Linked DNA regions of Saccharomyces cerevisiae S288C. The protein of the gene in region 4 binds, or shares a complex with, the protein of the main gene of each other region. Each region holds a gene or a part of one and is shown on either strand. Other genes may lie near its edges. The genes, in order: IMG2, MRPL35, MRPL38 and MRPL36.

Evidence for each region.
Region 1: MRPL36 (region 4) and IMG2 share a complex: the UniProt entries of both Saccharomyces cerevisiae proteins name them as parts of the mitochondrial large ribosomal subunit.
Region 2: MRPL36 (region 4) and MRPL35 share a complex: the UniProt entries of both Saccharomyces cerevisiae proteins name them as parts of the mitochondrial large ribosomal subunit.
Region 3: MRPL36 (region 4) and MRPL38 share a complex: the UniProt entries of both Saccharomyces cerevisiae proteins name them as parts of the mitochondrial large ribosomal subunit.

The regions. Positions count from the first base shown.
Region 1 is NC_001135.5:239,595-242,137, forward strand, and holds IMG2 (mitochondrial 54S ribosomal protein mL49 IMG2), read right to left. Parts: upstream 950-2,543; coding exon 509-949; downstream 1-508. Other genes in the region: peptidylprolyl isomerase family protein CPR4, read left to right, coding at 1-417; RSA4 (Rsa4p), read right to left, coding at 1,211-2,543. UniProt on the Saccharomyces cerevisiae protein: Component of the mitochondrial ribosome (mitoribosome), a dedicated translation machinery responsible for the synthesis of mitochondrial genome-encoded proteins, including at least some of the essential transmembrane subunits of the mitochondrial respiratory chain.
Region 2 is NC_001136.10:1,108,881-1,112,195, forward strand, and holds MRPL35 (mitochondrial 54S ribosomal protein mL38 MRPL35), read left to right. Parts: upstream 1-1,708; coding exon 1,709-2,812; downstream 2,813-3,315. Other genes in the region: asparaginase ASP1, read left to right, coding at 1-967; TIM11 (F1F0 ATP synthase subunit e), read right to left, coding at 3,123-3,315. UniProt on the Saccharomyces cerevisiae protein: Component of the mitochondrial ribosome (mitoribosome), a dedicated translation machinery responsible for the synthesis of mitochondrial genome-encoded proteins, including at least some of the essential transmembrane subunits of the mitochondrial respiratory chain.
Region 3 is NC_001143.9:128,765-131,592, reverse strand, and holds MRPL38 (mitochondrial 54S ribosomal protein uL14m MRPL38), read right to left. Parts: upstream 960-2,828; coding exon 543-959; downstream 1-542. Other genes in the region: putative serine/threonine protein kinase KKQ8, read left to right, coding at 1-305; protein kinase NNK1, read right to left, coding at 1,332-2,828. UniProt on the Saccharomyces cerevisiae protein: Component of the mitochondrial ribosome (mitoribosome), a dedicated translation machinery responsible for the synthesis of mitochondrial genome-encoded proteins, including at least some of the essential transmembrane subunits of the mitochondrial respiratory chain.
Region 4 is NC_001134.8:483,391-486,498, reverse strand, and holds MRPL36 (mitochondrial 54S ribosomal protein bL31m MRPL36), read left to right. Parts: upstream 1-1,995; coding exon 1,996-2,529; downstream 2,530-3,108. Other genes in the region: transcription factor TFIIIC subunit TFC1, read left to right, coding at 1-1,757. UniProt on the Saccharomyces cerevisiae protein: Component of the mitochondrial ribosome (mitoribosome), a dedicated translation machinery responsible for the synthesis of mitochondrial genome-encoded proteins, including at least some of the essential transmembrane subunits of the mitochondrial respiratory chain.

The DNA.
Region 1 (2,543 bases), on a different chromosome or scaffold from region 4:
GAATTGGATGGCAAAAGTGTCGTGTTTGGTCAAATAACTTCTGGTCTAGATCAACTAATGGATGCTATTCAATACACAGAAACAGACGAATATGGAAAGCCTCAGCATGAATTACGGTTCCTGTATTTCGTTCTAGAAATCTTAAAAATTAGTAACATCTTAGATTTGCACGCTGCGTACACAGAAAAAGTCGAGAAGTTTAGAAATGGCGATGTGTCTGTTGGCTCCACTTTGGAAAACATCTTCCGTAACGATAAAGCCTACACACCTTTAACCACCTCCACTGGAACCACCGCCTATGATTTAAACCACCCAATTTCCAGAGCCTTGATGTGTTTAACTGTTCTTGGCCTTTGTTTCATTGCCTACAAGGGCATGCACGAAAAGCCTCATACGGTTTCATTAAGACACAAGTAAGCAACTTCTTTTCGATGGCTTGATGACCACATGGCTATGATTTTAATTAATATATATACATGACAATTATTTTTTTATACATTAGCGATACCTAAAATTTCTTGGTTAATACCCTTTTGACAGCCTCTACTGCATTGCCCTTGATAATAATTTTTTTCGATTGCATCACCACAGACCATGATTTTTTGGGTATGAAAGGCAGTTGCTCCTGCAAGTCATTTCTTAGTTGAATTACATCTCCTTCAATCTTTCTGATCTCCGTGATAATCTTGTTACCTCCATTTTTATAAGCGGAATACACCGGTAGATTTCCGGTCCTGCTTCTCTCCACGTAGTAGGTCTTTTTACCAAAATTGTTGTTTCCTATGAGCTCATGCATCTTCACGTCTTCCAGCTTTGGAAATATTGGCGCCTCAGCAGCTTTATTTGAATTAGTGGATATACATCTTATCGTTTGGTATATCGAGGCAGTGGCAGGCCCTGGAAGGCATTTACCCCTACCAAAACATCTAGTAACACACGAACTGATCATAGTTTTGCTCACACGCTACCTTGGAGTAAGTTGCTTTAGGTAAACGGGCACTTCTTTCAAAAGGTTTTCCTTCTTGCTGGAGCTATACTGCTTATAGTACCATATTTTAAATTCATACCAAGCCATTCGTACGCGATGACCATTATAGATCGACCTTGCGACACCATCATATTTAATATTCAAAAAGAAAAAAATGCAGTTCTATATCACAGTTATATAATATTTATATGTGCATGTATGTTACTTGTCTTTGCACATAACTCAATGCGTCCACAATCTTACCATCTTGTCTTTCCCACCACTACACACTCTTTTACCGTCGACACTCCAGTCGACGGTATAAACTTCGTCTTTATGACCAGGGAGGTCAACAGAAAGTTTTCTAGTTCTTACATCCCACACTTTCAACGTGGTATCTTTGGAACATGACACCAGTAGTCGGCAGTCCGATGACCACGCAACCTGGTATACGCTGGCTACATGCCCTCTAAATGTGGAGATAAACTTACCATCTCTACCGTCCCAAAGTTTGATAGAGTTATCAAAAGACGCTGAGACAATATACCTACCATCAGGGCTGAACGCCACATGATTGACTAATTTTTGGTGACCGGTCATTCTTGCTATAGGCTTGGTAGATTTTAGTGGGTTCCATAAAAACATGGTATAATCATCGCTTGCAGTAACCATCATTTCTTCTGAATTTCCATTCTTTTTACAGATTTTTTCATAATTTTCCAATGCCTTTTTCTGGGCTTCTTCTGGTGTAGAAGGCTTCTTACCTGTATGATCGAATGCACCAATGCGCAATGCGTAATCTGTAGATAAAGATAAGTGATTAACCCAGTGCGCATGCGACTTCAAAATGTTGATACATCTGCCCTGCGAATTGATGTCCCATACACGTACGGTTCTATCGTGAGAGCCACTATACAATAGACCTTGGCCGCCCCATTTGACACAAGACACTGAATTTGTGTGACCACTCATCGTATACTGGCAAACTCTGCTCACAGTGTCCCAAATCTTAATAGTACCATCCTTAGAAGATGAAGCTAATCTTGGTTTGGAGCCCGGCTTCACAAGATGTATAGGTTCCCAACTTAAAGAAGTGATCCACTTGGAATGACCTCTGAGAGCATCACCTAGACACTGACCGCTTTTTGGGTCCCATAATCTTATGGTATTGTCCATGGATCCCGTAGCAATTACTTCTCCATCGGGGGACCAGGAAACGCAGAGAACCCAATTGTAGTGACCCTTTAGAGTATGCATTGGCGTTTGGGTGTCACAGTCCCAAATCCTTGCAGTATTATCACCTGCACCGGTTACCATCCTAGAACTCGTATGTGGTGCGAAGGCAGAACACAAAATTGTGGAACCGTGACCTGCAATGGCTGATGAACTTCTAGTTACCGGCTTGACTTTGAAAACTGCTCTTGGCGTATACAGTAGCGTGATCTGATCTTCTGTACTGTTATAGCCTGGTTTTATTAATGAAGAATATAGGTTATCTGTTATATCAATCGTCTTCACAGGGTCACTGGCCTTCTTACCTTGAATTGTACAGCTGAAGGTATATGGCACTGGATCG
Region 2 (3,315 bases), on a different chromosome or scaffold from region 4:
TACCGGTGGTACTATTGCATCGAAAGCTATAGACTCCTCTCAAACTGCCGGCTATCATGTTGACCTGACCATCCAAGATCTATTGGATGCCATTCCAGATATATCCAAGGTCTGTGACATTGAATATGAGCAACTATGCAACGTGGATTCTAAAGACATAAACGAGGATATTCTTTATAAAATTTATAAGGGCGTCTCAGAATCGTTGCAGGCTTTTGACGGTATAGTTATTACCCATGGGACTGATACGCTATCTGAAACTGCATTCTTTATTGAAAGTACTATTGATGCTGGCGACGTTCCTATTGTTTTTGTTGGTTCGATGCGTCCTTCAACCAGCGTTTCTGCTGATGGCCCTATGAACCTTTACCAAGCAATTTGCATTGCTTCAAATCCAAAATCTAGAGGAAGAGGTGTTCTTGTTTCCTTGAATGACCAAATTTCCTCTGGTTACTACATTACTAAGACGAATGCAAATAGTTTGGATTCTTTTAATGTTAGACAAGGCTATTTAGGAAATTTTGTCAACAATGAAATTCACTACTATTATCCTCCTGTGAAACCGCAAGGTTGCCACAAATTCAAACTGAGAGTGGACGGTAAGCATTTTAAATTACCAGAGGTTTGCATTTTATATGCTCACCAAGCCTTTCCGCCAGCTATAGTCAACTTAGTGGCAGATAAGTATGATGGTATTGTTCTTGCTACCATGGGTGCTGGTTCATTGCCGGAGGAGGTCAATGAAACCTGCATGAAATTGAGTTTGCCGATCGTATATTCCAAGAGATCGATGGATGGTATGGTGCCTATTGCCAACGTACCAAAGAAAGGTTCAAAGGAGGATAATCTCATCGCATCTGGTTATCTAAGCCCTGAAAAGAGCAGAATCTTGTTACAATTATGTTTGGCAGGTAACTACACGTTGGAAGAAATTAAACATGTTTTCACTGGCGTCTATGGTGGGTGAAAATTTTGTAATTTTTTGCATTTGTGTCGATATATATATATATATACATAGACACAGAGATAGAGATATAATTATGCAAGTCCCTGTTAATGCTAGTCTGAGATGAGTACAGGAATTCTTCATTTAGATTGTCTCGGCTATGTCACTTTTCTATCGTTTCACCTGCACATGGCTTTGTCTTGAATACTGAAGCCGTTATTATAGTTCTATCTTCATGTTTTTAGAGGTTTTTTTTAAATGAGTTTATTAAAATTAAATTTTGAATGTTATTTTTGAATAAAAATATAAAAAAAATAATATTAATAATTTTTCATTAACTGCTCATGATATCAGTGCATTAGAAAATCTTTTGGTTCCACTTTTCCTATAAAAATAATTCAAGTTTTATCATTATATCATTTTTAAATATTTGATTATCATCGCCCGCTGGTCACCGCATTTTTAAAGAATAAATATTACTTTTTTCGAAATCTGGTGTTTAAATATTTTTAAGAAAGTTAAAAAATAAGGAATATTTGATAAACAAAAAAAAATTAGCCTTTATATATCCATTTTTGTTTATGTATTCCTTTTTTTATTTTCTTATGTGTTTGGGATTTACTGTCGCAGTCTTTTCAAATTTTCCGGGCTAAACCGGAAGCCGGAAGGTCTGGGATAAGACAACAGTATCCAATACAATATCAGACTACAGCAAAAAGCTTATTCAGAGATCTTTACAGAAATCAAGGTCACTGCCGAACTATGTTACGAAGATCTATTCATACCACTAAAATCCTCCAAAAACCTAATGCTACTTCGCATATTTGGTCGGACTTTACCACAAGGCCTAGTTCACTTTCTATCCAATCTTCAAAAGTGAAAAATTACCTTTTCCAGAAGAAAGCTTCTCTAGACCCACCATCTATCAGCAGAAGAAGTAACCGTATCAAATATTCACCTCCAGAACACATTGATGAGATTTTCAGGATGAGTTATGATTTTCTTGAGCAAAGATCCAGTAAGTTTTATGAGTTGGCCAATAAGACTAAAAATCCCTTGAAGAAGGATGCACTTCTCATAAAAGCAGAGATCAATAATCCTGAGGTACAATACAATTTTCAGTTTAATAACAAGTTGAACAATGTTAAGGATATAATAGATTATGATGTGCCAGTGTACAGACATTTGGGGAAACAACATTGGGAATCGTACGGCCAGATGTTATTGATGCAAAGGTTAGAAACGTTGGCTGCCATTCCTGATACTCTTCCAACTCTGGTTCCACGGGCAGAAGTGAATATCAAATTTCCCTTCTCTACTGGTGTAAATAAGTGGATCGAACCTGGTGAATTTCTATCGTCCAATGTCACATCCATGCGTCCCATTTTCAAAATTCAAGAATATGAACTTGTGAACGTTGAAAAACAATTGTATACGGTACTGATAGTCAATCCTGATGTTCCAGATTTGAGTAATGACTCATTTAAAACGGCTTTGTGTTACGGATTGGTGAATATTAATTTGACTTATAATGACAATTTAATAGATCCAAGAAAGTTCCACAGTTCTAATATTATCGCTGACTACTTACCTCCGGTACCTGAAAAGAATGCTGGAAAACAGAGATTCGTTGTTTGGGTATTCAGACAACCCTTAATCGAGGATAAGCAAGGTCCTAACATGTTAGAGATTGACCGAAAGGAACTAAGTAGAGATGATTTTGATATCAGGCAATTTACGAAGAAATACAATCTAACCGCTATTGGGGCACATATCTGGAGAAGCGAATGGGATGCCAAAGTCGCCGCCGTCAGAGAAAAATATGGCCTACCACCTGGAAGGGTTTTTAGCAGAGTTAGAAGGTGATCCTAAATAGTATGACATTATAGTATCCTGTACATATAAAATAACGTGTCATTGTTAATAAAGCTTGATGCAAATAATATAAAGTAAGAATCTGAAAAATTTTTGGAATGTGAATTTTGTTTACAATACGATACGTATGATATTAGTATGTTCTAGAATATATACATTTCATTTTTTTCCTTATTGTTTGTGCACTAACGAATGAAGAAAAAAATATGGAACATCTAGCGAACGAGAATCCATCATAACTTCGTCATTCAGTGCGAGCTAATGTGCATTTTTAGTATCCTATTTATGTTGAAGCTTCTATTTATGTTGAAGCTTCCTTCAGGGATTCAACGGCGTTAAGAATAACTCTTTCAAAATCTATATTAGGATCTTCCAAATTAAATGAGGCGTTCGCAGGCACATCTTTAGGAGTTACTACAGGGTGTAGCTTGGCGTATTCCTTCTTTGCCTCCTCTACCAGCTTCAATTTCTCCTCGTACTGTGCCTGCTCCTCT
Region 3 (2,828 bases), on a different chromosome or scaffold from region 4:
TGATTGACTGTTGGAGTTGTGGCGTTGTTTATATAACAATGATATTGGGGCATTATCTTTGGAAAGTAGCTTCGAGAGAAAAAGATATGTCTTATGATGAATTTTACAAGGAAATGCAGCGTAAAAACCAGTTTAGGGTATTCGAAGAATTAAAGCACGTAAACTCAGAGTTGGCCACAAATAGAAAAATCGCATTATATCGCATCTTTCAATGGGAACCAAGAAAAAGGATTTCTGTTGGCAAACTTTTAGATATGCAGTGGATGAAAAGTACGAATTGCTGCCTAATATATGATTCCACATAAATATCTTGTATACAATATTCACGGCATGCAATTATAGAATAAGACAAGAAAAAGAATACAACTCCAATGAGTAGAACGTCAGCAGCACGTTCATGCGTTTTCAAAGTTAAAGTCATACATTAAAATTTAAGCAATATATACAGGTGGTTAATTAAATAATGACGACAAAGCTCTTTTGCTGGTTTACAGTCCCTTGATTATAACGTTAATGAATGGAAAATGGGGGTACTTTTATTCTTATATGACCCTACTTGCCAAAGAGCATATCTTATTGTATCCCTTGTCTTTCAGTGTTCTATCTACACAACCATCATTAGCCATAATTCTTGTCCCCAGAGGTTCACCGGTATTTTTATTAATCAAAACGCAAGCAGTATCTCCGAATGCAACGGTGGAGCCATCCTTTCTGCACATGTTACGCTGTTTAGACCTTACGACAATTGCGTGACAAATATCACCTTTTTTGACACGGTTGGTGTTGGCTGTCCCCGTAATGTTTTGAGTCAAGGGCTTTGCTTTCTGTATAACACAGACTATTCTGTCTCCAACCATTGCAGGACTCTTGGGGGACCCTTTCCTTATTACTTTAATACATTCTGCTAATTGTGCACCTGAATTGTCGATTACCTTGATGACAGATTTTAGAAATATCATGTTGTGATGTTAGAAAATATGGCTTATCCAGATCTCAAAGGGTTGACGACACACCGTTCTACAAATCCGCTATGCCAATATCCACGCTTCACAATTTATCCGAACTCTTCTATAGGTCCCTTTTCTTCCATCCGTCATTTAGCAACATGATTTAAGGCTGTTCAAAAAAATATTCTGAGTTTTCGCACGTTGCACGAGTCGCAATGAATAGCGCCAAATAAGTGATAGAGGCATCAAATATGCGATAAAAATACTTATTTACATATTTCGTAATAGTAATTATGAAGTTCGTTATAATTTATAAAATGGGAGAAAAAAAAGTAAGCACAATGTATGTATTTTTTCAATGCAATCAATATCATTAATCATAAGTCATGAGCCATTATTATCGTGAATGGCCTCGCTTAGGTTCATTTCGTTTTGAAGGACTTCTTCAATCCTTTTCAATTTCCACCTCTTATCCAAGTCAATCGTCAAACATCCAATGACTGTGTCATACAAGCCTTGACCAATCGTTCCTTCATTTTTTTTCCTGTCAAATTTACAGACCTGAGCTAAAGAAAATCGGTCAAATTCGCCTACTTTAATCAGAGAGCGTAACCTAGGTTCGAACTCATGATTAAAGGGTAATTTTCCTACTAACATTGTATATAGCATTACTCCCAAGGCCCAAATATCGGATGCTGGTCCTAAAGGAGAAACAATACATGGAAAATCAGTCGATGAACCAGACGGTGAACTTGTAGTTACACCGGAATTCGTGACTGCGGACGCCTTTGTAGAGGATGATAGAGAAGATAAATTAGAGGAAGATGATGATGCTGCGCTAATTTCCGATTGAGAGGAGTCTGGTGAATCATAAATATGCATTTCAACTGATTTTGAACGTCTTGCATCTGAGTATCTTAGAAGTTCTGGCGAAGCGTAAGGCAGAGATCCGATATATTTAGAAGGTTCGGGTTCCAGGTTTGAAAAATCGGTTGTCTTGTGCCTCCCATGAAAGGGACTCCGATGCTGTGGTTGAGGTTGAGAGGCTGGCTTGTGAAATAGATTAGAAGAAGAAGAAGAGGATGGTTGATTGAGATGCTTTAATGAATGTGAACTGGAGCTAACCATTCCTTTTGGTGTAAACGGTTGATGCTTTCGATTTTCAAATTGGTATTTTAAGTTTTCACTAGCGTCAAAATCATTAGTTCGGTCGTCAGGTAAAAAATTGGTTGTGGGATACTTTATCAAATTAGTTTGTTCAATACTTTTTCTCTTTCTATGGCTGTTGCCACTACTCAAGTTTTCATCAAAAGTATCGTTACGATAAACATGCTTCTCATCGAAGTGGCAACTCATTCCAAAATCGCATAGGAAAACCTTCCAATCCGATTTTTTACCTTCTTTTTGTAACAGACAGTTTTCTAATTTGATGTCACCATGAACAATCGTTTTGGAATGCATGTACTTTAATGCAGATAATAGTTGTAAGCTTAAAAAAATGGTCAATCTGCATCTCTCTGCAAATGGTATCTTCGAACGTTTGAATTCGTCCCAAGATATTACCAAGTCGTATAAGGTACCATCGTTAATTCTTTCCGTTAAACAATACATTGCATAGTTGTCATCAAGCTTCCAATCTAAAAGGGGGAGTATTCTGTTATGCTTCAAAGTCCTCCATATGGCTACTTCTCTCAGCACATGTTTCTTGATATTTTGGTGTCCTTTGAACTTCACAATTTTTATCACTCTACCAACACCAGTTTCAATATCAAAGCATTCCCGTATGATCCCCCATGCGCCGAAACCTATGATTTTACCCAACCGATGACCTAGTATTTCCATACCCTTATCGTCTGGTCTCGCACTGCCACCTGCGCTTCC
Region 4 (3,108 bases):
TGAAAGAAGCCTTTAAAGAACATGGACCTATCGAATCTCAGCACGGATTACAACTGTACTTAAACGATGATACTGATAGCGACGGATCCAAGAGCTATTTTAATGAGCATCCTGTAATTGGTAAAAGAGTTCCCTTCAGAGATGAGTCGGTCATATTAAAGGTTACAATGCCTAAGGGAACTTTAAGTAAAAATAATAATAGCGTCAAAGATTCTATCAAATCCTTAAAAGATTCGAATAAATTGAGAGTCACTCCTGTTTCCATAGTAGATAACACTATAAAATTTAGAGAAATGTCAGATTTTCAAATCAAACTGGATAATGTCCCCTCTGCAAGAGAGTTCAAAAGTAGCTTTGGCTCTCTGGAATGGAATAATTTCAAAAGTTTTGTCAATTCTGTACCAGATAATGACTCTCAACCTCAGGAAAACATCGGGAATTTGATCTTAGACCGTAGCGTTAAAATTCCGAGTACAGATTTCCAACTGCCGCCACCTCCTAAGTTATCAATGGTTGGTTTCCCCCTGCTTTATAAATATAAAGCTAATCCATTTGCGAAAAAAAAAAAAAACGGTGTCACAGAAGTGAAGGGAACATATATCAAAAACTATCAGTTGTTTGTTCATGATCTTAGTGATAAGACAGTTATACCGTCCCAAGCTCATGAACAAGTCCTGTACGATTTTGAGGTCGCGAAGAAAACAAAAGTCTATCCAGGCACTAAAAGTGACTCTAAATTTTATGAATCGCTGGAGGAATGCTTGAAAATTTTGAGAGAGCTCTTCGCTAGACGTCCAATTTGGGTTAAAAGACATCTTGATGGGATTGTCCCGAAGAAGATACACCATACTATGAAGATAGCGCTGGCACTCATATCTTATCGTTTCACAATGGGGCCTTGGAGAAATACATATATCAAATTTGGTATAGACCCCAGAAGTTCAGTGGAATACGCCCAATATCAAACAGAATATTTTAAGATTGAAAGGAAATTACTATCTTCTCCCATAGTGAAAAAGAATGTACCAAAGCCACCACCCCTGGTATTCGAATCAGACACTCCAGGCGGTATTGACAGCAGGTTCAAATTTGATGGAAAAAGAATACCGTGGTACCTGATGTTGCAGATTGATTTATTAATTGGTGAGCCAAACATTGCAGAAGTTTTTCACAACGTCGAATATTTAGATAAGGCGAATGAACTAACTGGATGGTTCAAAGAATTAGACTTGGTCAAGATAAGAAGGATAGTAAAATACGAACTTGGTTGCATGGTTCAAGGAAATTATGAGTATAATAAATACAAGTTGAAGTATTTCAAGACAATGTTATTTGTTAAAGAATCCATGGTACCCGAAAACAAGAACTCAGAAGAGGGAATGGGTGTTAACACCAATAAAGATGCTGATGGGGACATAAATATGGATGCAGGTAGTCAAATGTCCTCAAATGCCATAGAGGAGGATAAGGGTATCGCTGCTGGTGATGATTTTGATGATAATGGCGCCATAACTGAAGAGCCAGACGACGCTGCTTTGGAAAATGAAGAGATGGACACTGATCAGAACTTGAAGGTGCCTGCAAGTATAGACGATGACGTGGATGACGTTGATGCAGATGAAGAAGAACAAGAAAGTTTTGATGTTAAAACAGCGAGCTTCCAAGATATCATAAATAAAATAGCTAAACTAGATCCTAAAACCGCGGAAACAATGAAAAGCGAGCTCAAGGGATTTGTTGATGAAGTCGATCTGTAATAAGTAGGTTTTCTTTTATTTCAATATCAAAATATGCCAAATGTGCAATAAAACCATAACTACGTATGTGATATTTCTGAGTTTTGTCCCCAAACCGTAAAGAGCGATTATCTCGTGCAAAATGCATCAAAATCAAATAACTAAAATGAAAGGGTATCATTATTATTCCTAAAAGTTAAGAATGCCTCCAGAAAGAACGGGTACCAACGCAAACGAACACACGTTTTGTTCACTCCTAATGTTGAAGTCTATATTTGCGAAGCGATTTGCTTCCACAGGGTCATATCCTGGTTCTACAAGAATTACTTTGCCAAGAAGGCCTGCAAAAAAAATTCAACTGGGGAAGTCACGACCGGCTATTTATCACCAATTCAATGTCAAAATGGAGTTGAGTGATGGAAGTGTAGTTATCCGGAGATCCCAATATCCAAAGGGTGAAATTAGATTAATTCAAGACCAGAGAAATAATCCGCTGTGGAATCCTAGCAGGGATGACCTAGTCGTTGTGGATGCTAATTCTGGTGGTAGCTTGGACAGATTTAACAAGAGGTATAGCTCTTTGTTTTCTGTCGATTCAACGACCCCAAATTCAAGCTCTGAAACAGTTGAACTATCTGAAGAAAATAAAAAGAAAACACAGATTAAAAAGGAGGAGAAGGAAGACGTTTCTGAAAAAGCGTTCGGTATGGATGACTATCTATCTCTGTTAGACGATAGTGAACAACAGATCAAATCAGGTAAGTTGGCCAGTAAGAAGAGAGACAAGAAGTGAATAGTGTTTGCTCCCCTTACTTTTCTATTCTCGAACCAATTTATATTCCTTTTGGGACATAGATCTCAATCGCATCTGTTTGAAGACTACATAAACAGCCTTGTATATACCGCAACATATACACATACGTCTACATATGTATATATTGACAACGAAGATTCTGCGAACGCTTGGTTTGGCGCTATCGCGATAGATTAAGTGCAACAAGACACACATTTACAAACATAATATGAACCAGATATGATTCATGGATTATCGAGGCAAATGGTCTGTGAATGAAGCTCACTTACGCTGCAATAAGCAGCAACGGCATTGTAGTGATCATTTTCTACGCCTCGTAATATTTCAGCGCAGTGGAAAAAAATTGAAAATTTTTACTCTTCTCGAGTGTTGAATCACTGCTGCGATACTTATCACGTACTTTGTATACATAATTTTACTTGCAATTAGGACTCGAAATCTGTTCAATTACTTTTGAGGATTTCTTTTATTTTAGTTTCCCTTTTTGCATTCGTGTTGATTTTCAAGAAAAATTGTCGTTCTTCAATATCAGTAGACGATTTTACTCTCAGATTGTTA